Linked DNA regions of Callithrix jacchus. The protein of the gene in region 1 purifies or fractionates together with the protein of each later gene. This does not show direct contact. Links are inferred from orthologs where the notes say so. Each region holds a gene or a part of one and is shown in the gene's direction. Other genes may lie near its edges.

Region 1 (4,478 bases):
ATATTAAAATGAAGGGGGAGATTTATGTGCATCTTGGAATTGGTGATATAAGATATATTGGAAAGATGACAAGTACCAAAGACCAAGCCCTGAGGATTCTGACAGTTAGAGGCTGAGCAGAGGAAGAGACTGGAAGGAACTGCCAGTGGGGTAGGACAACCGGGAGGGGGTGGCGTCTCAAAGATCTGCAGAAGAGTTTGAAAAGCAGAGTGGCCAACAGTGTCATGGGGTTGACAGGCCCATGAGGACAGAGAAGACATCTCTAAATCTGCTGAAAGGGAGGTCAGGGTTACAGGAGCTAGTTCAAGTGAACAGGTGGGAACCAATTGGGTGGAAGGGGGACTTGGAAACAAGGCAACAGAGACAGGGAGTACTATTTGCTTTGAAAGACTGAAAAGAGGTGATAGTGAAGGTCGACTGTGCTGGGGTTTTTGTTTGTTTATTTTTTTTGACACAAGGTTCGCTTTGTCGCCCAGGCTGGAGTGCAGTGGTGCGATTACGGCTCACTCAGCTTCTACCCTCCTGTGCTCAAGCGATCTGGTCACCTCAGCATCTTGAGTAGCTGGGGCCACAGGCACATGCCACCACACCCGGGTAATTTTTTAATTTTTAGTAGAGACGAGGACTCCCTAAGTTTCCCAGGCTGGTCTCAAACTCCTGAGCTCAAAGCAATCCTCCGGCCTCCGCCACCCAAAGTGCTGGGAGCCACCGCGACGGGCCTCCTCCAGCTCTTTTTTTTTTAAGGTGGGGTCTCGCTCTGTAGCCCAGGCAGGAGTGCAATGGTGCAATCCCAGTTCACTGCAACCTCCGCCTTCCCGGGTTCAAAGGATTCTCCCCCTCAGCCTCCCAAGTAGCTGGGATTACAGGCACCTGACATCATGCCCGGCTAATTTTTCTATTTTTAGTAAAGGCAGGGTTTCACCATGTTGGCCAGACTGGTCTCGAACTCCTGAGCCCAACCGATCCACGGGCCTTGGCCTCCCAAAGTGCTGGGATTACAGGCGTGAGCCACCTCGCCCTGCCCCACCTCTTCTAGATAGAAGAGGCGGCCCGCCTCCAACCGAGCTCCGGGACGCATGCCAGTCTCCGGTTTCGCCTGCGCATCGGTCTCCCGTGCGGTCTCACGCGTTTCCTTCCCGGCCCCCGCAGACAAGCGTAGAGCTTTCTTCAGTACTCGCTCTCGTGCGCGCGCCCGGGCGGCGCCTGCGCAGAGGGCGAGGAACCTGGTGCCCCCGTGTGGTCCCGGCGCCTGCGCGCTGCGGACTCTGGGGCCTCCCGGCCCGAGGGAGAGGAGCAGGGAAGATGGCGGCTGTGGTGGAGAATGTCGTGAAGCTGTGAGTGGTCGTTTCTTTCTCTCCTAGGGCGGCAGGTTTTGTAAAGGGCCTGGGAGGAGGGGGCCGTGCGGGAAGAGATGAGACGGAGAGAGGGACATGCCCGGCAAGATCGTGTTGCGACTCCTGGTGGGGAGGGCAACAGGAGACTCTGGAGAAGACGTTGCGCTTCTTTGGAAACTTGTGGAGGCCCTGATGGGGGCACACTGGAGCCTCGACGGGCGGCCTCCCTGCGGGGCTGTGTAGCCTGAGCGTTCCTCGGGGCTGACGGTTTCTAGAGCATGGCGCCCTGCCTGCGCGCGAGACTCACGGTCCCGGTCCTCTCCCCAGACGCCTCAGTCCCGAGGAGCGGGGCTGAGGCCCGGGCGGCCCCTGGCGAGTCCGCCGCCCAAACCGCCCGGTCCCGTCCCGTCCGCTGCAGCAACAGGGTCGGCGGCCCCAGTGGGGTGCACTGCGGGGCTGGATGTTTTAGTTCCGAGCGGCCCCGTGACGTTTGGGAGGATCTTGGGTGGCGGGCACCTAAGACTGCAAATATTCTTGGGAAGAATTTGTCGAAGAGCGGATACAAGAAGGGAAGGAACTTCAGGGGAGCGGGCCTTGGCGCAGTCCAGAAGCAGCCATCAAAAACCTGCGGCTGGACCGAAGCCGTTCAGGACAGCTCAGTAGCCTAAAGGGACATCCAGATGGGTATTCTTCCTATTTCACGGTACCATTGTGCTGGCCAGATATCAAGCAGAGTTAAAGTTAGTATTTGTTGGGGCCATGGACACTGGCCTATGAACTGCTTCCTGTCAGTTAAAGATGCTTTGGGACTTGATTAATTCCTACAGAAGAATGAGAACGAGTTTTGGACTGGGTTAATGCCCCCTAGGCGAATAGAGCTTCTTTTAATGGGTACGTTGGGCTTGGTGGAAGGGTGGGAAAATTGAGGATGTCTAGCTGTCCAGTCAGGGCTGTTGGATTTTGACGGAATGAATGACAGTGGAAGAGTGGGAAAATTGAGGATGTCTAGCTGTCCAGTCAGGGCTGTTGGATTTTGACTGAATGACAGTGGAAGGGTGGGAAAATTGAGGATGTCTAGCTGTCCAGTCAGGGCTGTTGGATTTTGACTGAATGACAAAGTAGAGGTTCGCTAGCTGTTCTAAGGGACTCACCGCTTTTCATCCGTCTTTATCGTGGGCTGAGCCCCACTCTTCCTAAGAGCCTTTTTAAAGAGTAAACTGCTTCTCCCTCATGCCCTGAAGCCTTTTCTTTGAGAATGCTTTCCCACTTCCATTAAGCTAAGTGCCTTTCCTCCTCGTGTGTGTGTGTGTGTGTGTGTGTGTGTGTGTGTTTCATTTAACTTGCTTTCTGATCTATCCTGTCTCTTTCAGCCACCCTCCTCCCAACACTATTGTCTTTCTCTCTGATCTGCCCACTCCAGTTTCGCAGCTCTCTTGAGGCTGACATTTTTCTCAATTTAGAAATGACACTGTTTGTATACCGGTTATCCTTCCTGGCTGAGATGTTCTTTGTTTCCCTGCGTCTTTGTTGACTTCCCTTATCCCATTGGAAGGGGATGTTTTACACGGGTTTCTCCAAAAATAAAAAGAAAGATTCCCCTTGTACTGGAGGAATATCAGACTTGCCTATGTTTTGAGAGTTAAACGTAGTGGGGCTTTTTGTGTTGGAAGACTTTCCTCAGGGAGATAGGGTTGCCAGTGCTTTCAAGTTGTGTCATAAGTGAGGGGTTCCCATTTAAACCGCATGACTTCTGATTTCTCTTGGAAAAACTATAGAGATTGTTTCACCTGCCACTAATTCCTGAATGCCAGTAATGAGAAACCAACTTTCTCCTCATTTCTGGCTGTACAGGGCCTCAGACCACAGTTAATACGTACTCCTGCAGAATGATCCCTTTAACAAGGGCTTCCATTCTTCCAGTTCATTGGAAAGAGATGCTTTTCTGGCACTTCTCTTGATTATAGTGTGCCTAGTCTTCTGACAGTTGATATTATACACTGAGGTCGGGACCACTAGCTCATATTTTCTTTTATTTTTTTGAGACAGAGTCTTGCTGTTGTCAGCCCAGGATGGAGTGCAGTGACACCATCTCGGCTCACTGCAACCTCAGCCTCCCAGGTTCCAGCAATTATCCTGCCTCAGCCTCCTGAATAGCTGAAAGGCAACCCACCACCACACCCAGCGGGTTTCAACATGTTGGCCGGGCTGGTCTTGAACTCCTGACCTCAGAGGTGATCCACGGGTCTCAGCCTCATAAAATGCTAGGATTACAGGCATGAGTCACCGCACCCAGCCACTCAACTTTCTGACTTGCATCTTGTCCTGGGAGAAGAATTTTCTTATTTGTAAATTTCTGTCCCTTCCAAATGTGATGTCAGAAATAAAAATCTTGGCTGAGCAGGGTGGCTCACGCCTGTTATCCCAACACTTGGGGAGGCCAAGGTGGGTGGATCGCTTGAGGTCAGGAGTTCAAGACCAGCCTGGCCAACATGGTGAGACTCCATCTCTACTAAAAATAGAAAAATTAGCCGGGTGTACTGGCACACACCTGTAGTCCCAGCTACTCAGGAGGCTGAGGCATATGAATTGTCTGAACCCGGGAGGCAGAGGTTTCAGTGAGCTGATATCACACCACTGCCCTCCAGCCTGAGTGACACCTTAAGACTCTGTCTTTAAAAAAAAGAGGCTCGGCACAGTGGCTCACAGCTATAATCCCAGCACGTTGGGAAGCCAAGGCAGGCAGATCACAAGGTCAGTTTTCAAGACCAGCATGGCCAATGTGGTGAAACCCAGTCTCTACTAAAAATACAAAAATTAGGCATGGTGGTGCGCGCCTGTAGTCCCAGTTAGTTACTCAGGAGGCTGAGGCAGGAGAATTGCTTGAACCCAGGAGGTGGAGGTTGCAGCGAGTTGAGATGGTGCCACTGTACTCCAGCCTGGGCAACAGAGCAATATTCTGTCTCGAGAAAAAAAAAAATCTTTTAAGGTTCTTACGAGGAGAGTAAAATAAAAGTATAGCTGTAGCTGCTGATTGGTTTTTAAACTTTCTATAGACAAGAGCTAGAGGCCGGCACAGTGGCTCATGCCTGTAATCCTAGCACTTAGGGAGGCCAAAGCAGGCAGATCATGAGATCAAGAGTTTGA
Region 2 (4,004 bases), on another chromosome or scaffold:
TCTTTCTCTCTTAAAGATCTGTCTTGGATACCATTATTTTATTCTGTATGTAAATAGATACCTTATTCTTTTTGGTCTCTGTGTCACGTTCTGTTTTACAACTTTATTTGAACATTTATGGTGGAAATATAGGCTTCTAGTCTTTTGTTATTGTGAATTATACTGCCATGAATTTGCCTGTAAAAATATATATATGTGCATATATATATATTTTGTGTGTGTCAGTATACACGCACACAAAAACTTGTATATCTATAGCATAAATTTCTGGAACTGTAATTGCTGGGTTAAAGGTATATGTATTTTTTAGATTTGATAGTTAGTGACAAATTGCTTTGTATAAAAATAGTAATATCCATCACTTCTGCATTTATGAATTTCGCATCCATGGATTGAAAATATTTGGAAAAACAAAACTGTACTGAACATGTACATACTTTTTTTGGTCATAATTCCTTAGTACAGTGTAACAACTATTTACATAGCATTTATATTATGTTAGGTAGTACATACAATGTAGGGATTTAAAGTAAATGAGAGGATGTACATAAGTTATATGGAAATACTGTTACCATTTTATGTCAGGGACATGAGCATTTATGGATCTTGGAATCTGTAGATGGTTCTGGAACCAGCCTCCTACAGATATTGAGGGACAACTACTTCCTTTGAATTGTTGTTTGTCTCTCTTAAGCTTGATCCCACCCTTGATTTCATAAGCTTGATTCCCCACGGAATATAAGTAAGATTTATATTCCTTTAACAATGGACAAAAGTGCTTCTTTCTTCATAATACAGTTAGATTAAACTTGATTTTTGAGAATCTGAAAGGTGAACGCTGGGTCTCATAGTTTTAATTTGCCTTCTTATTTTAAGTGAAGCAATCAATCTTTTAGTATTGATGAACCTTTTTGTAGTTTTTCTGTGAACTAGTCATTCCCTCATTATGTCCTTTGCCCATTGTTTTACTGGTGGTGGTGTTTTACTTACTTCATATGTTAAGTAATTAATTTGGTCTGTGATATGTCTTATAAATAATATTTTCTTACTTACCTTTTTATTATTTTTGAGTTTCGTGTCATGTGCAAATTTTTAAACTTTATATAGTGTAATTTTTCAGTGTTTTATAGCTCTGGGTTTTCTGGCCTGCTTAAGAAGGTCCCTCCATTATTATTTTAAAAATTCTCCTTTTTGAAATTCTTTTATGGATTAAGTTTTCTGTTCATCTAGAATTAGTTAGTGGAAGAAGTAAGGCAGTGATCCAACTTGTTTTTTTTTTCCAAATGGCTCCCAAGTTGTCACAACACCATTTACTGAATTAGTTTTCTATTGCTCACTGATACTTATTAGTTACTCAGCCATGTATTTGGGTCTGTTTTTAGACTCTGTTCTAGTCATTCAGTCTGTTAATCTATTCATTATGTTCACAGGTTTTTTTTTTTTCAGACAGAGTCTTGCTTGTTGCCCAGGCTGAAGTGCAGTGGCGCGATCTTGGCTCACTGCAACCTCCGCCTCCCAGGTTCAAGTGATTCTCCTGCCTCAGCCTCCCAAATAGCTGGGATTATAGGCACCCGCCACCACACCTGGCTAACTTTTGTATTTTTAGTAGAGATGGGGTTTCACCATCTTGGCCAGGCTGGTCTTGAACTCATGGCCTTGTGATCCACTTGCCTTAGCCTCCAAAGTGCTGGGATTCCAGGCGTGAGCCACTGCGCCCCGCCTGTGTTCACAGTTAATTACTCCAACCTTATGATATGTTTTGCTGTATTTTAAAGAAGCTAGTCCTCCCTTCATTTTCAGAGTGTTCATGACGTTTCAAAAACATTCGTTTATTAATCTGTAAAATGGGAATACTCTCAGTATTTACTGTCATTCCTATAAACCATTTACTTTGCTACTGATTAACTCTTGTTTGGTATTACTATAATAATGCAAAAAAAAAAAAAATACCCTTTCCAGGTACTTTGTATGGACCATCTATTTAATTTTCATATTTTGCTTCTGATCATTTTTCTTCAAAGGGCCTAACCATATGCCTATGCAGGGACCTGGACCCAATCAACTCAATATGACAAACAGTTCCATGAATATGCCTTCAAGTAGCCATGGATCCATGGGAGGTTACAACCATTCCGTGTCATCATCACAGAGCATGCCAGTACAGAATCAGATGACAATGAGTCAAGGGCAACCAATGGGGAACTATGGTCCCAGACCAAATATGAATATGCAGCCAAACCAAGGTAACTAAGCTTTATGTCCTTCTTGACTAGAGTACTATATTGGCCTTTGAAAGTAAAATGATTATCAGGTTCTTAGCTGATTCATAAAAGTATAAGTTTAAAATGAGGGACAGCCATGCCCAGAAAAATGGAATGTTGAGTTTGAAACTAGTTTAAATCTTTTTTTATATGTATGAATTAAATTGCTCAATTTAGCTTTTTAAGCTTATTTATTTTTATGTCTTTTGAACAGTTTATTTGAGGTTCTGTGTTGTTGAGAATTGTTTTTTAAAGCTGATCAGTGAAGAACCAAACATTTGGTTTAGAGCTAGAAAGTTGAGAAAATAAATACCTGCCTTACAGTTTAAATGATGTATTAATTTATATGAACTTCCCTTGATTTATATGGATGTTTTCTGATGCTATGTTTTAGCATTAAAAGGTAATTCTAAAATAATTTGCTATTAGAATGTTCAGTGGGGTGCTGCTGTACTACTCTTAGAATGGCATAAGTCCATTAAAGTTTATTACCAATCTCAGAATGAAATTGTGCTATGTTTCTAAGTATTCTGTGAATAATAACTAAAAGCCAGTAAGTGGCACTCTGTTCTGTAAATTGTCTGTTAAAACATTTGGCATATTTCCAGCTTAACGTTATTTTAGTTACAAAATATGGTAATTCTGTCTTACGGTTAAGACTGTAAGATAGAGTTAAATGTATTTGGAATAAAATTTTCTAGATTTTGATTATTAAAAAGCACTAAAATGTACCCAGATAAAAGAATTTAATGTTAATTTGTTGATAATTCCTTATGATGAAGTCATAGAATTTAAAAATATACAGATTTTAAAAATAATTTCAGTGAGATATACTGAAAACAAAAGGAGATAATAGAAAAAGTTGTCAACATTGTAGCTTCACAAATGGCACTTGTAACATTTTTTACCCCCAAAGTTACTTAATGCCTATGGTGGAATTATTTTTTTGTTTTTATTAGGTCAATTAAGAGTCCATACAACAGCAAGATCCAGTCAGTGCTAGATCAAAAGGGAGTTAAGGTGTTTCTCTATACAGTTTGGTTACCAGGAGAGAGAACAGGAAAATTCATGATTCTGGCAGCAACTCCAGTAATGATGGCACACTTCTTAGAAACTTGTGGTTAAGAAAAGGTATGGTGTGCACAAAAAAAAAAAAAATGAGTGTTGCTGGAGCAGGGTTTGACATGACATATTAAGATTTGAAGAAGAAAAAAAGCTAATGCATGCAGCAGTGTTGTATATTGACTTTTTGGAGAAAAGTACTGAGGCGTTTATAGAAATTTTTTGTTCTTAGGGACCAACTTTAACTTATAAAAATGTCATATTTTGTAAGAATGTGTAGCTCTTCCTTTTACTGTAGTACATTAGTTATATCACTTTTTTGCCTTGTTCTCGTCGTTTATAAATTTCTTGTTTTTTATTTTTATTTTTTGTATTTTGTTGAAAGAATAGAAACAATGTCTCCATCTGTTGCCCAGGCTGGTCTTGAATGCCTGCTTAAGTGATCACCTGCCTTGTCCTCCCAGTGTCCTGGGATTAGAGGCGTGAGCCATTGCACCTGGTCAGTTTATGAATTTCATAATAGAAAATAGACTATACAAAAATGACCAGGTATTAAATCTGAAGAAATAAAAGACAATTTTCAAAAAGAAAATATGGTGTAAATCATTGAGGAAATTTTCATTGTTTTAAAAAATCTCTTTAGGACAAATAAAAATCTTCATCAAAATTTTGGTATTTCAG
Region 3 (4,804 bases), on another chromosome or scaffold:
AAATATGTGTACAGTGTGTACAAAGCCTTTTTTTTTTTTTTAAACTGAGGACTGTCATTAAACACAGTTGTTTTCTACTTTGCCTGCTTGGTCTCTTTTTGTGAATGTTCAGCCAGGATCAGGAGGCATGGCCGCTGTCCAGCACTATCCTGGGAGCCAGGGTCACAGTCCCCCAACCCAACCCTCTGGCCCTTGGGGCTGGGCACAGTGCTCAGGGCTCCTTTTGCTCCATTACATCACATTTTGCTACAGTGGCTTGTCAACTGGCTCCGCACTTTCCTACTTGTCCCCTCCGTTCATCCTCCAGAATGGTGGTCATTTTATCTGCTCCCGCCACAGCCCAGCCCCTCGTGAAACACAGTCAGCCTTCCATACATAGCTGTGGTTTCTGCATCCATAAACTCAACTAATCTCGGGTGGGAAAAAAAGTGTTGAAAAAAAGGATGTGGCCAGGTGCAGTGGCTCGTGCCTGAAATCCCAGCTCTTTGGGAGGCCGAGGTGGGTGGATCACCTGAGGTCAGGAGTTTGAGACCAGCCTAGTCAACATGGTGAAACCCCATCTCTTCTCAGCTACTTGGGAGGGTTGCCTCCTACCTTCCAACTCCACATGTGTCTTCATAACAGCATTTATCATAGTTGCATTTTTTTTTTTTTAAAGAGAGACAGGTTCTTCCTTTGTTGCCCAGGCTGGAGTGCAGTGGTACAATCAGCTCACTATAACCTTGAACTCCTAGGCTCAAGGGATCTTCCCCTCTCCACTTCCGAAGCAGCTGGGGCTACAGGCGCACAGCACCACGCCACACCCAGCTTATTTATTTTAAAATTTTTGTAGAGACAGGGACTTGGTGTATTGTCCAGTCTGGTTTTAAACTCCTGGCTTTAAGTGATGCTCTCTGCCTTGGCCTCCTAAAGAGTTGGGATTACAGGCATGAGCCACTGTGCCCAACCACAGCTGCAATTTCAGTAGACTGAACCGTATGAAATCATCAGTGGTGGGCCACTTTTTTACTCACTGGATTATTCAATCAGATACATGATTGCTTTGAGACTTTTAGTTTCACTAGCTTCGGGCGGTAGGAGCCAAGAGACTGAGCCTGGTTTCCCGTCCCACTGCAGGGCTCAGGTAAGCAAAGGAATGGAGGTGGAAAGTGTCCCTTCCCTCCCATGCTCATCTGATGCACCAGCCAAACCAAATACCATCTGGGCCTTTGAATATTGCCAGTCCTTATCCGCTGTTGTCATTTTGCCCACCTCCACAGCTGCAGAAACAGCCGTAGGCCGGGAACTGGGATATCTGTTCCTAGGGGCCCGCCTATCTGCTCAGTTGCATTGCCTGTTTCAGGGGTTGGGAAGCTAAGGCACGAGCCTGGTGTCCAAACGTGCCCAGACCACTCAGGCTTCCAGATATTAGGTCCTTCTCCTTCAAACCTCACTTCGTTTCTTTTCCCCTGGGCTCCGTTCCAGTCCTGGCTGTAAGACTGGGAAAGCAGTGGCTATTTTTGTCCGTGAGAAGCTTTCCTTTCTACACCACGACTTGGGAGGCAGCCTGGGAGGAAGAGAAATTAGCCGTGGCTCCTTTAAGAAGTCCGCGGAGGCGCTCCCGGCCTTTTGTTTCAGCGGCGGCGCGCGCGTCAGCGTCAACGCCAGCGCCTGCGCACTGAGGGCGGCCTGGTCGTCGTCTGCGGTGGCGGCGGCTGAGGAACCCGGCTGAGGCGCCGGTACCCGGCCCGGTGCGCATTTCGCCTTCTGGCTTCGGCTTCCCTTGGCCTGGCACTCGCCGGCCACGCCCAGGCCCCACCCCAGCCCTCCGGATCCCTCGCAGACCGGCTCCGGCCGCCCGTCTCTGCCGCCGCAATGATGATGATGGCGCTGAGCAAGACCTTCGGGCAGAAGCCCGTGAAGTTCCAGCTGGAGGATGACGGCGAGTTCTACATGATCGGCTCCGAGGTAGCCTGCGGCGCGTCCTCGCCCTCCCCGGGCTCGGCCCCGCGGGAGCCCCAGGGCGGGCCCGTGCGCCGAAAGCGGGCGTCTCCATTCATCGGGGCGGGCGGGCGCGCGCGCGCTCCGGACTGTGGGGCGTGACCTGTGGGCGTGGCCCCGCCCCCTCATCTATCTGGGTTTCTTTACCCATTTCGCCGAGGTCTGCCGCCTGCAATGCTGCCAGGGCTTTATGGCGCCGCGAGTGGTTCCATTAGTTCCCTGCTGGGTTGGTTTCCAGCCAGACTCAAAGAAGTGGAATGTTGGGTTAGCCCCTGAGACGCTTGGGGGACCGCACTGCTGCCTTTGACTCTTTTTAGATGTCGTAAATTTCACGTGCACCCCTCCCCACATTGCCACTTGTGGGATCCTGAAATGGCAGGCTGAAAACTCCCGGGCTTAGTGAGGGCTCATCCCTATTGTGTTTGTTTGTTGCTTCTTAGGTGGGCAGTAGAGGTGTTTTGACCTTTGTTTACTAGTGAAGAAACAGATCGGAGGGAGATGTTTGCTTTTGGGTGGGTAAAGGCCCCATGCCTAAGCTGATTCTTTGAGCAATTCTGAAGCAATTGACATTTTCCATATCTGTGAACTGATTCTGAATTATTACAGGGGCAGGAGAACAAGGATCTTTAATCCTTAAGTAGAGTGGCAGTATTTTGTTGCATCAACTGATTGACTGACGTTGGAAAAACCTTCAATTGGCAATTAAACGGGTGTTTATGCCAAATATATTAGGTTCTTGTTTTTTGTCATTTGTTTATTTATTTTTGAGACAGAGTCTCGCTCTGTCACCAGGATGGAGTGCAGTGGTACGATCTTGGTTCACTGCAACCTCCGCTTCCCAGGTTCAAGCAGTTCCCTGCCTCAGCCTCCTGAGTAGCTGGGATTACAAGCGTCTGCAACCACGCCCGCCTAGTTTTTGTGTTTTTAGTAGAGACAGGGTTTCATCACGTTGGCCAGGCTGGTCTGGAACTCCTGACCTCATGATCCACCCGCCCCGGCCTCCCCAAGTTCTGGGATTACAGGCGTGAGTGAGCCACTATGCCTGGCCTTATTAATAGTTTTTATCTTACTTTATTTTAGAAAAAAGGTCTCACTCTGTTGCCCAGGCTTTGGTACAGTGGTGCATCTCAGCTCACTGCAGCCTTGACTTCCTGGGGTCAAGTGATCCTCCTGCCTCAGCCTCCCAAGTAGTTGGGACTACAGGTGTACATCACCATGCCCGGCTAATTTTTGTGTTTTTTTTGTAGAGATGGGGTTTTGCTGTGTTGCCCAGGCTGGTCTTGAACTCCTGGGCTCAAGTGATCCTTGTACCTCAGCCTCTTAAAGTGCCAGAATTTCAGGTGTGAGCCACCACGCTCACACTCAGCCCATTCATACTTTTTAAACTTGTGGGTTTTTGCCTTCACAATTGAGCATAGCATGAAGGAATGAAGCCTCAAGATGGTCACGCTGAGTCCCATGGGTGAGAGTAAGGTCAATAGCATCAGAACTTTAGTGTTAGCATTTCTCCACCTTTTTTTTTTTTTTTTTTTTTGAGGGGAACAACGTCTGACTCTGTCACTCAGGCTGGAGTGGAGTGGTGCAATCTCAGCTCTCTGCAACCTCCACCTCCCGGGCTCAAGCCATCCTCCCACCTCAGTCTCTCAAGCATCTGGGACTACGGCACACACCATCACGCCTGGCTAATTTTTACATTTTTAGTAAAGATCGGGTTTCACCATATTGCCCAGGTTGGTCTTAAAAAATTCAGACGTTCAAGCGATCTGCCCACCTCAGCCTCCCAAAGTGCTGGGATTATAGGTGTGAGCCACTGTAGCTGGCCTCCATCAATTTTTATAAAACAAAAAGTGAAGGATGCAATAAAATTTTCACGTTGTCACTTGAATTGCAACTGTTCGAAGATGGCAGTGCTGGGGAGATGGAGCCATTGCCTGTCCTTGTGCCGCAGTTCAGCATTGTCCTCATTGGCCAGTAGACACCTGCCTAACTGCAGGATGCAAAAGGTGTTGAGTTTCATCATGTGATACTAGGCGAGTTGTTTACCTGATCTAATGGGTATAAAAGTAGTTAGTTTGGCTCAGAGTGGGTGACACTTTAAAAGAAAGCTTTCATTTATTAATTGGAGCAAATTGAGAAGCTGTAAGTGGCCAAGTGGGAAGAACCTTGGGAGGCCTGGTTCCAGCCCTGCTCTGCCTTCGTGTCACGTTTCTCATGTGTAAAATGTGATGCTTAGACTAAATGGTTTCCAGGATCTTCCCCAAAGCACATTTTAGTTTCTGGAAAGCTAATTACAGTCTTGTTTTTCAGCCCCCTTCACTCCTGGGCTTCCCAGTAAGAATAGTCTTCCTGAGGCCCAGCCTATGAGAGACTCAGATGGAGAGGCAGTTTGTTCTCTTGGGCCTGACTTAATCATCAGACCTTTGGAGTTTAGGCAAGGGTTCAAGGTCAGAGCTCTATTGAAATCAGTAGCTCCAGGTACAGTAGTGGATGGATGGCCCCCAGAGCTTAGCAAGAAGCTAAGGATGAGCCCAGGAGTTCAAGACCAGCCTGGGCAACATGGTAAAACCCCATGTCTACAAAAAGTACAAAATTAGCCGGTCATGGTGGTGCGCAGCTATAGTCCCAGCTACTCAGGAGGCTGAGACAGGAGGATTGCTTGAGCTGGGGAGTTCAAGGCTGCAGTGAGCTATGATCGCACCACTGTACTCCAGCCTGGGTGACAGAGCAAGACCCTATCTCGAAAATAATAATGATAGTTAAAAATAAATTTAAAAATTAAAAATATATACTATGTTGGGTAGATAAAATGGGAAAAATAATAGAA
Region 4 (4,004 bases), on another chromosome or scaffold:
GTCCCCAGCACACACGATAGTTCAGCAGCTCTTATGACTGAAGTAGTGTCATGTGTACCTTTGATTTAATTGAATTTATCTACACACAATCAAAGTAAAAGGTGTGAAAGGAAAGAGAAAACGCCTACAGAGACAGCCAGGGCAGTGGCCAGTGTGTACCAGGGCCAAGAGGTGCCACTGGGCGCTTTATCCCTGCCTCCAGCCCTGCCCACCAGCCCTCACCCCTGCCTCCAGCCCTGCCCGCCAGCACTCACCCCGGCCTCCAGCCCTCACTCCCCCAGCTCTGCCCGCTAGCCCTCACCCCCCCAGCTCTGCCTGCCAGCCCTCACCCCCCCAGCTCTGCCCGCTAGCCCTCATTCCCCCAGATCTGCCCTCCAGCCCTCACCCTCACAGCTCTGCTCTTTGGCACGCACCCCCCAGCTTTACCTGCCAGCCCTCACCCCCCCAGCTGTGCCCACCAGCCATCACCTCCCAGCTCTGCCCGCTGGCCCTCAGCCCCCCAGCTCTGCCCTCCAGCCCTCACCCCTGCCCCTGCCCTGCCCACCAACCCTCACCACCCCCCTCTGGCCGTGCCCACCAGCCCTCGCTGCCCCCCCCCCCAGCTCTTCCCGCCAGCCCTCCTGCCACCTGGACCATGCTGGTGCTGGGACAGTTTTCCGAGATGTGGAAGCCAGCACAAACCAGCCGCTTGATGCCAGTACCCAAGAAAAAAAAAAAAGAAAAAATTATTCCCAGCTTAGAGGGAAACGGGGGCTCACGTGAGGTTCCTGCAACATCTTCCTGTGGGACTTTAAAGGGTGATTTGGACCGCATGTGCATCTCTTCCTACACGTTGTCTTTTTGAGCCCTGTCTCATGATTGTTGAAGGTAGCAATGACCTAGTGGTACGGTCTGAGTGCTGCTCACCATTTTAGTTAAAACACAGGAATGTGCCGGGCGCCGTAGCTCACGCCTGTAATCCCAGCACTTTGGGAGGCCAAGGTGGGCGATAGATCACGAGGTCAAGAGATCAAGACCATCCTGGCTAACACAGTGAAACTCCGTCTTTACTACAAATACAAAAAATAAACTGGGCTTTGTGGCGTGCACCTGTAATCCCAGCTACTTGGGAGGCTGAGGCAGGAGAATCACTTGAACCTGAGAGGCAGAGGTTGCAGTGAGTCATTATCATGGAGCTGCACTCCAACCTGGTGGCAGAGCGAGACTAAGTCTCAAAAAAAAAAAAAAAAAAAAAAACCAAGAATGTGCATCGTTGAATGGGTGGAGGCAGCACTCGGTAGCCCTTGCCTATTCGTAGGGTTTTTGTTTTTTGGGGTTTTTTTGTTTTTGCTTTTTATGACCAGCCTGAATTTCTCTTCACAGCACAGTGGTCCTCTGGGGCTGTCTGTATTTGGGTCACTCTCTGAGGGCCTGGGGGTGTGCAGAGAGAGCATGTCTGAGGTTGGCAGCTTCACCAGCACCAGCAGGAAGGGCCAATAAGGGTCATAACTAATACTCCGTGCTGATCGCATTGTTGGACAAAAAGTGTTTCCAGTGAATGTTGTCACAAGATTAAATAAAAGGCTTTACTTTGTGTTTGCTTTTTGTTTAGGTAACTACTCCAGACCCCCAGCGTATAGTGGGGTGCCCAGTGCAAGCTACAGCGGCCCAGGGCCCGGTATGGGTATCAGTGCCAACAACCAGATGCATGGACAAGGGCCAAGCCAGCCATGTGGTGCTGTGCCCCTGGGACGAATGCCATCAGCTGGGATGCAGAACAGACCATTTCCTGGAAATATGAGCAGCATGACCCCCAGTTCTCCTGGCATGTCTCAGCAGGGAGGGCCAGGAATGGGGCCGCCAATGCCAACTGTGAACCGTAAGGCACAGGAGGCAGCCGCAGCAGTGATGCAGGCTGCTGCGAACTCAGCACAAAGCAGGTACGCCACCCAGGAGCACGCCCCGGGCAGGTACGCTGTGTGTCTACGCGTGGCCACGTGACTGCGCACATAGCCGCATTGTTCCCCAGGGTCACACAGAGCAGTAGAATATCACTGTGCTTGGCCGTTCTTTTTGTGTTAAATACATTTTGTAGCATCAAGGTCAGAGAACTGAGTGACAAACCATGTATTATCATACATGAGGAAGGGATGTGAGCAGTGGGCATGGCAGTCGTGGGAGGCGATTGGAAATGTCTAAATAGTCATCGCAGCAGCAAACCAGAGCCAGTCACACAGGGAAGTGTCTATGTGGTACCGGTTGAAGCAGTGAGTTTTAAGCAGGAAATACTAAGGCTCAGAAACCATTTAAATTCTAAAACGTTGAAAAGGAAACACACCCCCTGACCCTTTTCACTCTCCCATAAGAATCTTCATAAAATGGAAACTTTGTATGTATACATGTGTATTGTGTGTTTGTCTATATGTGTGAGGTTTATATACTTTACATTCTTAGGCTACATTTTATTTTTCCAGGCATATCTTATATATGTGTGAGGTTTATATACTTTACATTCTTAGGCTACATTTTATTTTTCCAGGCATATCTTTCTATCTGTCCAAACCAAACTATGGTTGAAAAAGCAAAGACCGTATTTTCGAAAGTTTGGCTTTAGCTTCAATTACTTAACTCATTTTTAATCCCGACTTTAAAGATTAATTCTTGAAGTACATACTTGACCTGGATAAAAATAATATAATTTAAAATGTATAAGGCAAAGGTGAATATGTTTTTAAAGCACATGTAAATAAGTTTTGAAGCAAAGTACTTTGAAAAATGTATATCTTAATCTTCAGAAGCAAGGGTAGAAGATTCTGATATTTGTCAAAGAGAAATAAAAGCTAAGGTGTGTGTGCGTGTGTGCATGTGTGTGCGTGTGTGTGTTTTTAAACGTGTCTTTTGTTACTTTTCTTCTAAAGCTGCTATCTGAGGAATGTGGGACCTCGCCAGACTTAGTGTTTTCTCCAAATAATAATAAATTTCCGTTGAGGAAATAAAAATTAAAATCAATCATTATCTGACTTTTGGTCTCCACATCGCAGTTACTTACAGCCTCCTGGACTCCAGCAGCCGTCTGCCGAACCCACACAGGCTTTAGGGGAATGTTTTTGTAAACCTGTCTGTGGAAACTGGTCTGGCTGTTCAAAACTGAAGTTCTAATTCAAGTTTAAATGAATTGTCCATTGTTGCAGCTCATAAAGCACACATTATTTTCTTTTTTTTTTTAAGTAGAAAGTATGCGATTGCATTTGGCACACAGCCTTTTTGAGAGGAACCTCAGAAGATAGCCACAGAGAGCCAGGCATGATTTTGTGTGGTTACAAAGCCATGCGTGCCCCCTTTCCGAGTCAGTGTTTATATGGTTTTGTAGTAATCAGTATATAAATACACATCCATGCATTGCCATTTTCTGTTTCTAATGCCCAGTCCATTCCAAAGCCTTGCCTTCACTTGCTGCCCATTTTAGCTCCCCAGGAGTTTAAATGGGGGCTGGATATCTTCTTGTTTACTTTTCCCAAAGTCAAAGCTATACTTTAAAATGTAAATGGAGATTGGAGTTGAGAATCTTACTTTTCTCTGCCTGTCCACACACTTTTGTTAGAGGCATTTTCTGTCCCCCCCCCCCACCCCTCAGGCAGCGGCAGGGTGCAGGATACCCAGCTTGCCTCCGTGGTCTGTGAGCCCCGCACCTATGTGTAGGGGTGACAGATAGACAGGGATTCATGCTTGTGCATCAGAACAAATCCCAAGAAGCTGTTCTTCTGTTCCACTTTAGGCCACCATACATTAGGTCGCCTGCTTATCCCAGCCAGTCTGGGGCTGGCGGACGCCCCATGTTTTCTTCCCAGCACCCCAACTATGGCAACTCTCAGGCTCCCATGGCGCACCAGCCTGACCAGTACGGGTAGGTAGCAACACACCCCGACTTGCTGCGGGACCTGGGCGTTTTCCCTGAACCTGTTAACGATCGTGCCATCTGGCCACAAAAGAACACCCAAACCAAGAAAGCGAGAGACCTAACAGGA
Region 5 (4,221 bases), on another chromosome or scaffold:
AAGGAAATGGACTGTTCCCAGAGGTTTAATAAGTTTGTCATTAAAAATTGTAACATAGAACTTTGTAATGGAAAGTATATTTGTTTAGATATACATGTGAACTTAAGAATTTTGAGGCATCCTATCAATCTTTACTGCTCTACTAAGTATTTTTTCCAAAGGAATTGCTCTGACCTGAAACAGTATTCTTTAATATTTGCCTGTTTATCACAGTCATTTCTTTGTGCTGCATTTTGTAGTTTTTAAATCTTAGCTAGACTCATGTAATTAATGATCTGAAGTAAAAATTCAAAGCATTATTTGGTACACTGTTTGAAATTGTGGACCATTAAAAAATGAGACATATTTTCTGTGTTTGACATTTGCTTTAGAGAAAATAATTAAGTAATTATAGAGCCTGATCCTGTCTTACAGCGAAAACTAGAAGCTGAACTTCTTCAGATAGAGGAACGACACCAGGAGAAGAAGAGGAAATTCCTGGAAAGCACAGATTCGTTTAACAATGAACTTAAAAGGGTATCTGTTTAATATGTTAACTATACTTTTATCACGATGCCTGTTACTTTATTTTTCCTCATTCTTTTTTCCAAAATAGTGTTTTAATGAATGTTGTTCACTTTGAAACAGGGTTAACTTTACTATATAACCTGTAAGATCTTTTTTTATACAATTTTTCCCATCCTCTGGCAGAATTGCAATAAATTTGAAATATCATGGAGTATACACATATCTACTAGGCCTATAAATGCTAGAGCCCTCTGATATTTTAAACTCCCATACAGTCAATTACTTTTATTGTGATTTATTCATAAAATGTCTTCATTAGATGTAATTCATAGTTTGCACTTTACATGTAGACAAGGATATCTAGTTGGTAGCCCAAAATATAAAATGGAAGCCTTATGTATACCCCAGAACTTTCACTGTTTTGCCTCACCAGCTGCTCTGGAATATCGGATGTTATACAACTGCTACAGCAGCTTTCTTTTCTTGTAGACCCAAGAGTTTCAGAGAAGACCTAGAACCACATTTTTTTGCCACACACACAGACACACAGGTGTATAGAATATATATATATATATAGTTTGTGGGCAAGAAAACCAACTTTTGAAAGAATATTTCTGGCTCAAAAATTATAAGAAAACATTACTAAGAGTTCTGGTTTATTCTGACTAGTTGTGCGGTCTGAAAGTAGAAGTGGATATGGAGAAAATTGCAGCTGAGATTGCACAGGCAGAGGAACAGGCCCGCAAAAGGCAGGAGGAAAGGGAGAAGGAGGCAGCAGAGCAAGCTGAACGCAGTCAGAGCAGCATCATTCCTGAGGAAGAACAAGCAGCCAACAAAGGCGAGGAGAAGAAGGACGACGAGAACATTCCAATGGAGACAGGTAACCCACTAGCAACAAACACAAGGAAGTGCCAAGACTTTGTACAGCTGTCTTTAATTTAGATTTTTCTTTCTAAGTGCAAGTTTTCTGATACCTGCCACTGAGAGTGATTCCCAGTACTGAATTTGACATGATATTGACATTCAATATTTTAACCTTTATTGCTTACATTATTTATCAAGATGTAGTTATTGCTTTAAGATCAATTATCTTAACAGCATTGGTGTTAAGATAATTGTCTTTGGTGTCCTAGGACAGCATTCTTCAAAGTAATACCGATAGGCCAATTCTGCCCACCACTTGCTTTTGTAAATAAAACTGGAACACAGCCACACTTGTTTGTTTACATATTGTCTATGGCTGCTTTGGGGCTAAAACAGTATAGTTGAGTAGTTGCAACAAAGACTGCCTAGCCTGCAAAGTCGAAAATATTTGCTGTCTGGCTCTTTACAGAAAAAAATGCCAACCCTGTCCTAGAAAAGCCCTTACTTCTAGGTATATTGATTTTCCTGATTGAAAGCAGCATCCCTCAAGGTAAAAAATAATAGTAATAACTTGTATGAATAAAACTTATATAAAGTACTGATTACAATGATTATCATTTGTAATTTTGAGATGACCTAACCTCATAGCACTGTTTTGACACTGCCTAGTACACTGTGTAAACAGGACTAAGCTAAAAGTTGTTATGGAAAACAAAACCAAAGGCTTCCTGGAGCATCGCTGCAAGAAGTGGGAGGGACAGTAGTCATACTTGGTACTCAAATGACAACCTCCAAGTGTCATACTTTGTAGTCAGATGACAACCATCTGGAAAACATGTAATGAAATACAGATCTTTACCAGGTATTTTTGCAAAATTTAATCCAGCAGGTTAACATTTTAGATAGTCATATGTTAGGTTTCACTATCTGAGTCTCTGTTTTGTATGAACATGTTTTTTATCGTAATGAATTTGGAGCATGAGCACATCTTTGTGGTTAAAGTAAGAGCTTGAAATTTAAAATACTGATTTTTGCAACTGTAAGAACACTCTGTCCCTTGCCTCTGTTTTGGCACCTGTGAATGAGGCATGTCTTATGCTTACGGTTTGCAGGTCTTTACTCAAATTCTGTTCTCCTAGCTCAAGGAAAAACCTGAAGAAGATCGTATGACACTATTAGAGCCAAAAGCTCATGCTTTTAATTTCCTACAGGAAACAGTCCAGCATGACTTTAAGAAAGTATCTAAAAGATCAACCTTATATCATTTCTACAACTGCTTCTCCTCATTTAATCCTTAGCACTACAGACTGACTCTCATTTACTGTCCAATAGAAATAAAATGCAATTCACATGTGAAATTTTAAATTTTCTACTAGCGACCTATTTTTAAAAGTTAAACAAAACAAGTGTTTTAACAATATATTTTATTTAATTCAGCATATCCTAAGTAACATTATTTCAACACGGAAGAAACATTTTTAAAATCAGCTTTCCTTTTTTTAAATAGTCTTCAAATCCAATGTATATTTTATTTTTCTACACATCTCAATTCAGAAGAAAATTGTTATCAAAAGTATTTGATCTGCATTTATTTAATAAATTTCATAAATACAGCTAAAAGTTAGGTTTTCATACCCAGATTGTTCCAACATTCTTAAAAGTTCTGTAGTCACACTGGCTCATTTCAGGGGTTTAATAACCACATGTGGCTAGTGGCTCCTGTATTGGACAGCCCAGTTGTATGCTGTCAGCATAACTAGAGTAAAATTTCATCTTGGAACTGACAGTGACAAATATGTGATTACAGAGGAGACACACCTTGAAGAAACGACAGAGAACCAACAAAACGGTGAAGAAGGCACGTCTACTCCTGAGGACAAGGAGAGTGGGCAGGAGGGGGTCGACAGTATGGCAGAGGAAGGAACCAGTGATAGCAACACTGGCTCGGAGAGCAACAGTGCAACAGTGGAGGAGCCCCCAACAGATCCCATACCAGAAGATGAGAAAAAAGAATAAATGTTGCCTTGTTTTATGTGTTCTAAATACTTTTTTAAATGAAAAAATGTTTTTTGGTTTTAATGGTGTTATGTGGTTTGTGTATTAATTTTTTTCTTGTCCATATCACACCACCAAAGGCTTTTGGACCATTTAGCCTCATGAACCTAATGGCACAGTCAGTCACCCTTCTTAGTGTTGTGAAGATGGCCCTTTTCTTTGGATCTTGTTTCTAGCCCTCAACTGCTGAAAGCCTCAGAATTTAGATTAATTGAGAAAACACCCTCCTCTTTTAGAGAATTATCCTTTGATGCTGCAGAATCTACTGTTACAATGCCTTCCTACAGCTCACTGGGGTGCTTACCAAAGCCATAGCTTTAAACCTTCCCAATCCCCATCAACAGTTTCCTGAAAATCTCCTCTCTTGTTTACTTCTGCAAAGGGTAGCTTCTTAAAACTGTAATCATGTATGAGTATGTATTTGTTCACTTCCCCTTTTTTACTTTTAGTCAATGTCAGATACCAAGAGTTGTGTTAAGAAGTTGAGTGTAGGCTACAACTAACTATGCTTGGATCTTACCGATCCAGAAATAGCTCCCATAGTTAAGAGTAGTTACTTAAGAAATGGTCATTAAAGTGAACACAACGCATATACATTATCTATACTGCTTTTTGTTATGATTAATATTGGGTATGTTCTGGTAAATTCATCCTTACTGTATAGAAAAAAAATTACTTTTTTACCAGGTTTTCCAAAGACAGACTAGATCACAAAACTCAAGGAATTTAATATTCTTGTAATGGACTAGATAATTTAAACTAATTAGCCCATTCCAGAAGAAAAACAGCTGGGAA
Region 6 (4,004 bases), on another chromosome or scaffold:
AACTGGATCAAACCATCATGAGGAAGCGGGTGGACATCCAGGAGGCTCTCAAGAGGCCCATGAAGGTGCCTTAGTTTGGGGGTAGGAGGGGGACTCAGTCTCGTGCCCAGGATGGGGAAGCAAGGTGGTCAGGGTGGGAGCACACAGCATTCACTTGGTTCTACACTCTATTTCTACAGCAAAAGCGGAAGCTGCGTCTTTATATCTCCAACACTTTTAACCCTGCGAAGCCTGATGCTGAGGATTCCGATGGCAGCATTGCCTCCTGGGAGCTGCGGGTAGAGGGGAAGCTCCTGGATGATGTACGTCCCGGCGCAGGTCTCTCCAGGTGTCCTAGGGTGGGCCTGGGCTGCACTGAGAACAGAACTAGGTGTCTGCACTAAGGGCTAGAGAGTCAGGCCGGTCCAGGGCAGGGCAGGGCAGGGCAGGGCAGGCCTAGAAACATTCGGGTGCAGAGGATTTCATCTAAGCCCGCTGCCCTGTTTGCTGCCAACTTGGCCTTCTTCTGCCCCCAGTCCCTTTTCTGCACCCACGGTCCCTGTTTCTCTCCCACAGCCCAGCAAACAGAAGCGGAAGTTCTCTTCTTTCTTCAAGAGTTTGGTCATTGAGCTGGACAAAGATCTTTATGGCCCTGATAACCACCTCGTTGAGGTGAGACCAAGATCCCCTCTGCCCTTGAACTGCCACCCTCCCACAGGCCAGAATCCCTGAAGAACCAGCCCAGATTTGGATCACGGACCACCCTAGAGTCCTGGGCCCCACCGCTCCAGATGGGCCTTTGGGTGACCCAGCTCTTCTCTCCTGGACAGTGGCATCGGACACCCACAACCCAGGAGACGGACGGCTTCCAGGTGAAACGGCCTGGGGACCTGAGTGTGCGCTGCACGCTGCTCCTCATGCTGGACTACCAGGTCTGCATCTGCCATGCTGCCCCGCACATGTCACATGAGGCCCTTAGGGCAGGCCTAGGTCCCAACATGGTCCATCTTGAGAGACCTCCTTCCCCTCCCAACCCTGTCTTTCCCTCAGTCAACGCATCCCCCTAGTCCTGAATGGCCTGGCCCTGGGCTCCTTCCATTCTCTCCCTTTGATCTAACTTTCACAGTCCCCTTTTCCCAGCCTCCCCAGTTCAAACTGGATCCCCGTCTAGCACGGCTGCTGGGGTTGCACACACAGAGCCGCTCAGCCATCGTCCAGGCCCTGTGGCAGTATGTGAAGACCAACAGGCTGCAGGACTCCCATGACAAGGAATACATCAATGGGGACAAGTATTTCCAGCAGGTAACCTCCCTCCTGAACCCAGGGGCCTGGGGATCAGGCAGAGTTCTCCAGCAGGGGAAGTACCTCTACCAAGGTAACTACCACCCTCCCTTCTAGTTTCCTGAGTAGCAGAAGCAGTACAGAGTTATGGTCTTGGAGCCAAGAGACCGACCAGGATTCTAGTTCAGGTCCTACTGTGGATTAGCTCTGTGCTGCAGCCAATCCATTTTAGCCCCCGCCCCCGCCCCCCCAAGTTAGGAAGACCTGGAACCCTACAAAGCCAACTGCTTTCTGGAATGTAATATTCTTGGCACCTGGAGTTTGGATTCCCAGGTTCTAGTCCTGAGTCTGGACTCTGGGTAAGTGACTTGTTTCCTTATCTTTGAAGTGGAGTGATAATACCTGCCCCGTCTACTCTCCTGGGCAGTTAGGGAAGATCAAATTGCTGCAAAAGGGACTTAGCGAAATTCCACCAAAAGAGAGTATTCTTATTAATGCATTTTAAAATAAATACGGCAGATAAACCTGAGGAGTAAAAATAGCAGCTGATATTTATTGGGCACTTACCATGTGCCAGGCATTGTTCCAAGCACTTTATGTGCATTAGCACCGACTTCTCACGACAGCCCTGAGATAGATATTATTTTCACCCCCACTCTAGAGATGAAGACAGAGGCCTGAGGTGTCAGCTTGCTCATGGCTGCATAGTGATGGGAGAGGCAGGACCGATACATAGACTGGCCCAGGGCCTGCACTCTCAACCTGCCCCACACTGACCCACCCCAGGCCCTGTCAGCCGTGCTGGTGGCTCCACCACCAGACCAGCCCACCCCAATCCCATCCCCCTGTGCACTGAGGAATCAGACTCACTCTCAGCTTCTTGAGGCCTTTCTACAACCAAAGGATCTACAACTTCGTGATGATCTCTTCCAAGAGTGATCTCTCCCTGCAACTGTCTTGCTAGATTTTTGATTGTCCCCGGCTGAAGTTTTCTGAGATTCCCCAGCGCCTCACAGCCCTGCTACTGCCCCCTGACCCAATTGTCATCAACCATGTCATCAGGTGAGGTGGCCCCAGCTTGCTTCTCAGACCAGGGAATGATCTCATTCCTGCCTTCCCTGCCCCTCCCTCTCCTCCCACTCCCGTATTTTCTCCCTCCCTGTTGGAGCTGCCCCCACCCCGGGGCCCTAGGGCCTCTATAGGGGCATCATGAACACTGAGGGCTGCACTTCCCTGGCAGTGTGGACCCTTCAGACCAGAAGAAGACGGCATGCTATGACATTGATGTGGAGGTGGAGGAGCCATTAAAGGGGCAGATGAGCAGCTTCCTCCTGTCCACAGCCAACCAGCAGGAGATCAGTGCTCTGGACAGTAAGGTGGGGCCCAAGCCCAGAGCTGGAATGGGACATTAACCCAGAGATGATAAAGCAGACTTTTCTGAGACCAGGGTGTGGTTGCAGATGAGCAGTCTGGGTTAAATAAAAAAAAGGAAAAGAAAAAGAAGCGACCAGAGTGTGGGCCAGTGGGGTACACATGGCCCTTCCATGCTACTTGGAGTTGAACCTTATTCCAAATTTAGTTCTGCCCATCCCCTCCTCCCCTGGGACTTCAGAGGAATCAGGGGCTCTGAGGTGTTGTCTTTCACCAAAGAAAACCCCTCTCCCTCCCCTTCCCACCCACCTCCTTTTCCCCTCCCTCTCCCACATCACCACAGCCAGGTGGAAAGCATCTATCTTTCTACCTGCAGATCCATGAGACGATTGAGTCCATAAATCAGCTCAAGATCCAGAGGGACTTCATGCTAAGCTTCTCCAGAGACCCCAAAGGCTATGTCCAAGATCTGCTCCGCTCCCAGAGCCGGGACCTCAAGGTGAGAGGGAGACTCAGGGAGTACTGGAGTAGAAGACAAGCACATCAGGAGAGACAGTAAATGTACTCCAGGGCAGGTGAGGGGATCTGGAGCTCAGGGCTGACCCCATGCCCCCTCCCAGGTGATGACAGATGTAGCTGGCAACCCTGAAGAGGAGCGCCGGGCTGAGTTCTACCACCAGCCCTGGTCCCAGGAGGCCGTCAGTCGCTACTTCTACTGCAAGGTATGGAGGGTCCCTTGCCCTGAGGCTTCCCCCTCCTCAACTCCAAGAGAAACCTCCCTGTTCAGCTTGTGGGCAGCCCTCTTAGCTCCCCACAGTAAAGCTTCACCACAATGCCTGACCATGCAGCAGACCCCTGCTCCCAGATGCTCTTCCAGGGTGGGCAGTGTCAGGTGGTGGGGTGGTCCTGATCACTCACCAGGAACACTGACACCTGCTCCTGCTCTCACTTCCTCTAAAGATCCAGCAGCGCAGGCAGGAGCTGGAGCAGTCGCTGGTTGTGCGCAACACCTAGGAGCCCGGGAACAAGCAGCACGAAGGACCTTCTGGCCGCACTCAGAGCTCCAGCGCTCCACCCCAGGCTCTGGCATCACTCCTCTGCCGCTTTGGGGTGCGGGGCTGGATTAAAAGTTATTCATCTGACAGCAGCCATGTGGTCATTGGAAACTGGGGAGGCAAGGGGGAGGAAAGGTGGGTGGGGAGGCAGTGGGTCCCTCTGGACAAACTCCCCACACCCTTCCCTTGTATTCTCTTTACTCAATTTTCCCTAGATCTAAAAACAGTTTAGCAGAAGACACGTTTAATAATTTTCATACTTTAAAAATACAGCAACAAGCTCTCTATCTGTGGACCACCTTGCCTTGCCCTTCCTGG
Region 7 (4,004 bases), on another chromosome or scaffold:
TCTGCCAAAAAAATGATCATTTTTAGGACGATTCCTTTAAGTTAGCGGTTCTTAAAACTTTGTGCACATTAAACTAATCTTGGGAGTTAAAAAGCATGCCTGCCAGGCACAGTGGCATGTAGTCCCAGTTGCTTGGGAGCCTGAGACAGGAGGAGGATTGTTGGAAGCCGGGAGTTTGAGGCTGTGGTACGCTATGATAGTGCCTGTGAATAGCCACTGCATTCCAATGTAGGCAATATAGCGAGACCCCGTCTCTAAAAGTAATCTTGCCTGGATCCCATCCCCAGAAATTTTTATTTAATTGCCCCAGGAGTAAAAGCTCCTTAGATGAGTTAAATGTACAGCCAGGATGGCAGAATTGATAGATTAAGCTATTAAGTGTATATAATAGGAAAACATTTCAAAAAAAAAAAAAGAAAGGGAAAATTGTAGTAGAGAACATGGTTATATTTGTAGTTGTATTTAAAACTTTTGGAAACATTTGGAACTAACTGATTTTTTTTTTTAATCCTAGGGTCTCTATGGCAGTGTAATAGTGGCTGGAGGAAACACACTAATACAGAGTTTTACTGACAGGTTGAATAGAGAGCTGTCTCAGAAAACTCCTCCAGTAAGTCCTGTTCTTTAATGGTATTCTTCAGTCATATATATTCTCACTGATGGTGTAATTTCATAGATGAGGGTTTATTTTTTAATAAAGATGATATTGTATGTGTGCCTGGTAGAGTATTACTAAAGTTAATATCCTACAACCAAGTTTTCTTAGTTGACATCTATTAGTTTCTCTTAAATTATTTTAATCTCATTTATTAACATAATATTTAAGTGCCTATAGTCTAGTAGGCACTAGTCCCTGCACACCAAGGGCTCTGTCTACTAGGATGTTAGAGATGCAGAAAATGACGGCTGTAACATACTGAACAATTAAGTATGCCATGAACCAGATGTTATTGGGAACACCAAGAAGACACTGCTTAACTCTCTGGGAGTATCAGAGGATAGCCTCATTAAGAAGCTACAGTTCGATTGAATAGTTCAATTCATTGCTAATTTATGAAAGGATATCTAGATGGAATAAAACCATTTGCAAAAATATTAAGAGAAGATGGGTATGTTTCAGTAATTCAAAGTAGGTGGCTTCCAGTCTGTACAGAAGTGGGGAAAGCAATATGGCTAGAAAGATGGATTAGTTTCCTAGAGCTGCCATAACAAAATACAGGTTAGTGGCTTAAACAACCGAAATTTATTGTCTTGTAGTTCTTGAGGCTAGAAGCCTCAAGGTGTCAGTGGGGCTATGCTGAATCTATACGGGAAAATACTTCCTTCTTCACAGGATAAAATCTTGCAGTACGCTGATGAACGCGTATATTTCTTTTAAAAAGATCAGTGGATGTATTGTAAGAACTTTTACAAGGATAGAAAAACTTGGTTTCAGAAGGTAATTTGTATAGTACTTTGAAAACAGAATGATATTTGTAATCTTTTAACTTTAAATTTAAAAATTCTATTGGCTGGGCATGGTGGCTCACACCTGTAATCCCAGCACTTTGGGAGTCCAGGGTGGGTGGATTACAAGGTCAAACCAGCCTGGCCAACATGGTGAAACCCTGTCTCTACTAATAAGACAAAAATTAGCCGGCCATGGTAGCACATGCCTGTAGTCCCAGCTACTTGGGAGGCTGAGGTACGAGAATTGCTTGAACCCCAGAGGCAGAGGTTGCAGTGAGCTCAGATCATGCCACTGTACTCCAGCCTGGGAGACAGAGCAAGACTCTACCTCAGGGAAAAAACAAAACAAAACAGAAAACAACAAAAACTTAAAAGTGTTTTTTTGTAAGGTGTTCTGCACTAAATACTAAATTAAAAAAAAAACTTGTTAGTGGTTACATTTACATAGGCCTAACAGTATCTTCTGTAGATCTGTATATTTCATAGTCTTTTGGTTTCCCATATAAAAGAATGTTTTACATATGCCACATTTCTTTTTTTTTTTTTTTTTTTTTTTTTTTGAGATGGAGTTTCGCTCTTGTTACCCAGGCTGGAGTGCAATGGCGTGATCTCGGCTCACCACAACCTCCGCCTCCTGGGTTCAGGCAATTCTCCTGCCTCAGCCTCCCGAGTAGCTGGGATTACAGGCATGCACCACCATGCGCAGCTAATTTTTTGTATTTTTAGTAGAGACGGGGTTTCACCATGTTGACCAGGATGGTCTCGATCTCTTGACCTCGTGATCCACCCACCTCTGCCATCCAAAGTGCTGGGATTACAGGCTTGAGCCACCGCGCCCGGCCCACATATGCCGCATTTCTATAATTAAGTGAAAGAACAGGAAAAATATTCTACTTAATAGTTACCAATCTTTCATACCTACAGAACCCATGTTTACCCTATCCCCAGTCCCCTCTCCCCACCCAGATCCCATACTCTACCCCTGCTGCACATACTTATCACTTAGAAAAGCTCACAGAATGTGTTCATTTATAGAATAATTGGAAGATGTCAGCAACTTGAGAACTGTCCCCAGAGGCAGATTCCTTGGTAGGAGGAAAGAAACCGCTTGATAAAGGAAGTGAGATAGGGGATAGTTCTGTGCAATGAAATGATATATTATCAAGAGAAAGCGAGAGTCAAAACAGAAGCACTGATTTGGAAGGAAAGTAGTATAAATAAAAAATTAACCTGAAAGCTGATGGCTGCGTTTTATTTGGAAGGGTTGCGGTGAACTAAGCATGGATTAGGATAGTATGAAGGCCTAGAAAGGAAGCAGTTAGAAGGTTGGGGAGGACTACAGAATGGGAGGCAGATTGGGATAATAACTATGTTTGTGTAGATTAAAATTTTCTTAAAAAAAAAATCCCAAACTAAAATGCAAAGATTAAATTTTTCTAAAAAAAAAATAATAATTATGTTTGGGTCAGATGAAATGAAATAATACATAAAGACTTAGCACAGTACCAGATTTATAGTGTTAGGTATGGGTTTGCTCTTTTAGGATAGAAATTGTGAATGCTACACTTCAGTATGCAGTTTTGGAAAGTTTGTATGTCTTCTCATCACATAATTGCATATTAAAAGCCATAATCAAAGTACTTTAAAAAATCTATACATTAGTCTAACTTATGCTTATTATCCTAGCTATTTCAAAATTACCATATTTTAGTCAGTGTTTGAACTACAGGGAACTATTAAGAAGCCTGTCAAAATTGAATTTCCTGGCTGAGTGCGGTGGCTCATGCATGAAATCCCAGCACTTTGGAGTCTGAAATGGGCAGATCGGTTAATTGCAAAAGTTCGAGACCAGCCTGGGAAATATGGAGAGCAAGACCCTGTGTCTATTAACAAAAAGAAAAAGGAATTTCCTAAGTTGAGTCACAAGATTTGATTGCATAATGTGCATTCTTCTCTCTGTTTCAGAGTATGCGGTTGAAATTGATTGCAAATAATACAACGGTGGAACGGAGGTTTAGCTCCTGGATTGGTGGCTCCATTCTAGCCTCCTTGGTTAGTGAATGAGTTACTTTGCAAAAATATTCTTACTGAATTATACTGAATTTAGTAAAAATACTAAAAATAATTCCAGTGCTTCATTTATCTTTGCATTTTATAACTGTCAAATGAGTGGAGGACCTAATAGAATAACCAGTTTCGTGTGTTCTGATGGAACAGAATGCCTCTTTGCCTAAATATTGGACATTTGTCACCCTAATTTCAATTTCCCTTCTCAAAAAGAGATGGAAATACCTTAATGTATGCATACCTTTTCTAATAGCACCCCCACTGGCACTGGTCAGGGCTTGTCTGGAGTGCATTTAAAATTAAATCATTCCTTCTCAAGTTCTGGTCATTCCTGGGACTCCCAGTGACTACAGGAAGTCAGGAATTGGTTGGAGCAAATGGTGAAGTCATGGTGCTGGGTCTGAGATGTTGCTTGGACTAGCGTCTGCCTTGACTAGAGAAAAACTCCTTACACTTTTCTGCATCTTGGACTTAGAGCGTTTCTCCCT

The links.
Region 2: the proteins of DPF2 (region 1) and SS18 purify together in Homo sapiens (affinity purification with mass spectrometry; 4 studies listed by BioGRID and IntAct, counting the BioPlex papers as one, with this or other methods). This does not show direct contact. The link is inferred for Callithrix jacchus from reciprocal best matches to the Homo sapiens genes DPF2 and SS18.
Region 3: the proteins of DPF2 (region 1) and SMARCB1 purify together in Homo sapiens (affinity purification with mass spectrometry; 11 studies listed by BioGRID and IntAct, counting the BioPlex papers as one, with this or other methods). This does not show direct contact. The link is inferred for Callithrix jacchus from reciprocal best matches to the Homo sapiens genes DPF2 and SMARCB1.
Region 4: the proteins of DPF2 (region 1) and ARID1B purify together in Homo sapiens (affinity purification with mass spectrometry; 7 studies listed by BioGRID and IntAct, counting the BioPlex papers as one, with this or other methods). This does not show direct contact. The link is inferred for Callithrix jacchus from reciprocal best matches to the Homo sapiens genes DPF2 and ARID1B.
Region 5: the proteins of DPF2 (region 1) and SMARCE1 purify together in Homo sapiens (affinity purification with mass spectrometry; 9 studies listed by BioGRID and IntAct, counting the BioPlex papers as one, with this or other methods). This does not show direct contact. The link is inferred for Callithrix jacchus from reciprocal best matches to the Homo sapiens genes DPF2 and SMARCE1.
Region 6: the proteins of DPF2 (region 1) and SMARCD3 purify together in Homo sapiens (affinity purification with mass spectrometry; 3 studies listed by BioGRID and IntAct, counting the BioPlex papers as one, with this or other methods). This does not show direct contact. The link is inferred for Callithrix jacchus from reciprocal best matches to the Homo sapiens genes DPF2 and SMARCD3.
Region 7: the proteins of DPF2 (region 1) and ACTL6A purify together in Homo sapiens (affinity purification with mass spectrometry; 5 studies listed by BioGRID and IntAct, counting the BioPlex papers as one, with this or other methods). This does not show direct contact. The link is inferred for Callithrix jacchus from reciprocal best matches to the Homo sapiens genes DPF2 and ACTL6A.

What each region holds. Positions count from the first base shown.
Region 1 is NC_133511.1:122,417,315-122,421,792, forward strand, and holds the start of DPF2 (zinc finger protein ubi-d4), read left to right. Parts: upstream 1-1,260; 5' UTR 1,261-1,302; coding exon 1,303-1,334; intron 1,335-4,478. UniProt on the Homo sapiens protein: Plays an active role in transcriptional regulation by binding modified histones H3 and H4. Is a negative regulator of myeloid differentiation of hematopoietic progenitor cells. Might also have a role in the development and maturation of lymphoid cells.
Region 2 is NC_133514.1:69,287,298-69,291,301, reverse strand, and holds part of SS18 (protein SSXT), read left to right. Parts: intron 1-2,021; coding exon 2,022-2,243; intron 2,244-4,004. UniProt on the Homo sapiens protein: Appears to function synergistically with RBM14 as a transcriptional coactivator. Isoform 1 and isoform 2 function in nuclear receptor coactivation. Isoform 1 and isoform 2 function in general transcriptional coactivation.
Region 3 is NC_133502.1:192,698,376-192,703,179, reverse strand, and holds the start of SMARCB1 (SWI/SNF-related matrix-associated actin-dependent regulator of chromatin subfamily B member 1), read left to right. Parts: upstream 1-1,648; 5' UTR 1,649-1,854; coding exon 1,855-1,947; exon of another isoform or gene 1,948-2,037; intron 2,038-3,517; exon of another isoform or gene 3,518-3,710; intron 3,711-4,804.
Region 4 is NC_133505.1:163,976,574-163,980,577, forward strand, and holds part of ARID1B (AT-rich interactive domain-containing protein 1B), read left to right. Parts: intron 1-1,591; coding exon 1,592-1,919; intron 1,920-3,754; coding exon 3,755-3,883; intron 3,884-4,004. UniProt on the Homo sapiens protein: Involved in transcriptional activation and repression of select genes by chromatin remodeling (alteration of DNA-nucleosome topology).
Region 5 is NC_133506.1:92,638,663-92,642,883, forward strand, and holds the end of SMARCE1 (SWI/SNF-related matrix-associated actin-dependent regulator of chromatin subfamily E member 1), read left to right. Parts: intron 1-414; coding exon 415-516; intron 517-1,176; coding exon 1,177-1,387; intron 1,388-3,178; coding exon 3,179-3,387; 3' UTR 3,388-3,450; downstream 3,451-4,221. UniProt on the Homo sapiens protein: Involved in transcriptional activation and repression of select genes by chromatin remodeling (alteration of DNA-nucleosome topology).
Region 6 is NC_133512.1:96,971,641-96,975,644, forward strand, and holds the end of SMARCD3 (SWI/SNF-related matrix-associated actin-dependent regulator of chromatin subfamily D member 3), read left to right. Parts: coding exon 1-65; intron 66-179; coding exon 180-302; intron 303-555; coding exon 556-651; intron 652-809; coding exon 810-911; intron 912-1,119; coding exon 1,120-1,281; intron 1,282-2,224; coding exon 2,225-2,322; intron 2,323-2,500; coding exon 2,501-2,636; intron 2,637-3,007; coding exon 3,008-3,130; intron 3,131-3,251; coding exon 3,252-3,353; intron 3,354-3,591; coding exon 3,592-3,645; 3' UTR 3,646-3,775; downstream 3,776-4,004. UniProt on the Homo sapiens protein: Involved in transcriptional activation and repression of select genes by chromatin remodeling (alteration of DNA-nucleosome topology).
Region 7 is NC_133516.1:7,812,938-7,816,941, forward strand, and holds part of ACTL6A (actin-like protein 6A), read left to right. Parts: intron 1-514; coding exon 515-610; intron 611-3,414; coding exon 3,415-3,501; intron 3,502-4,004.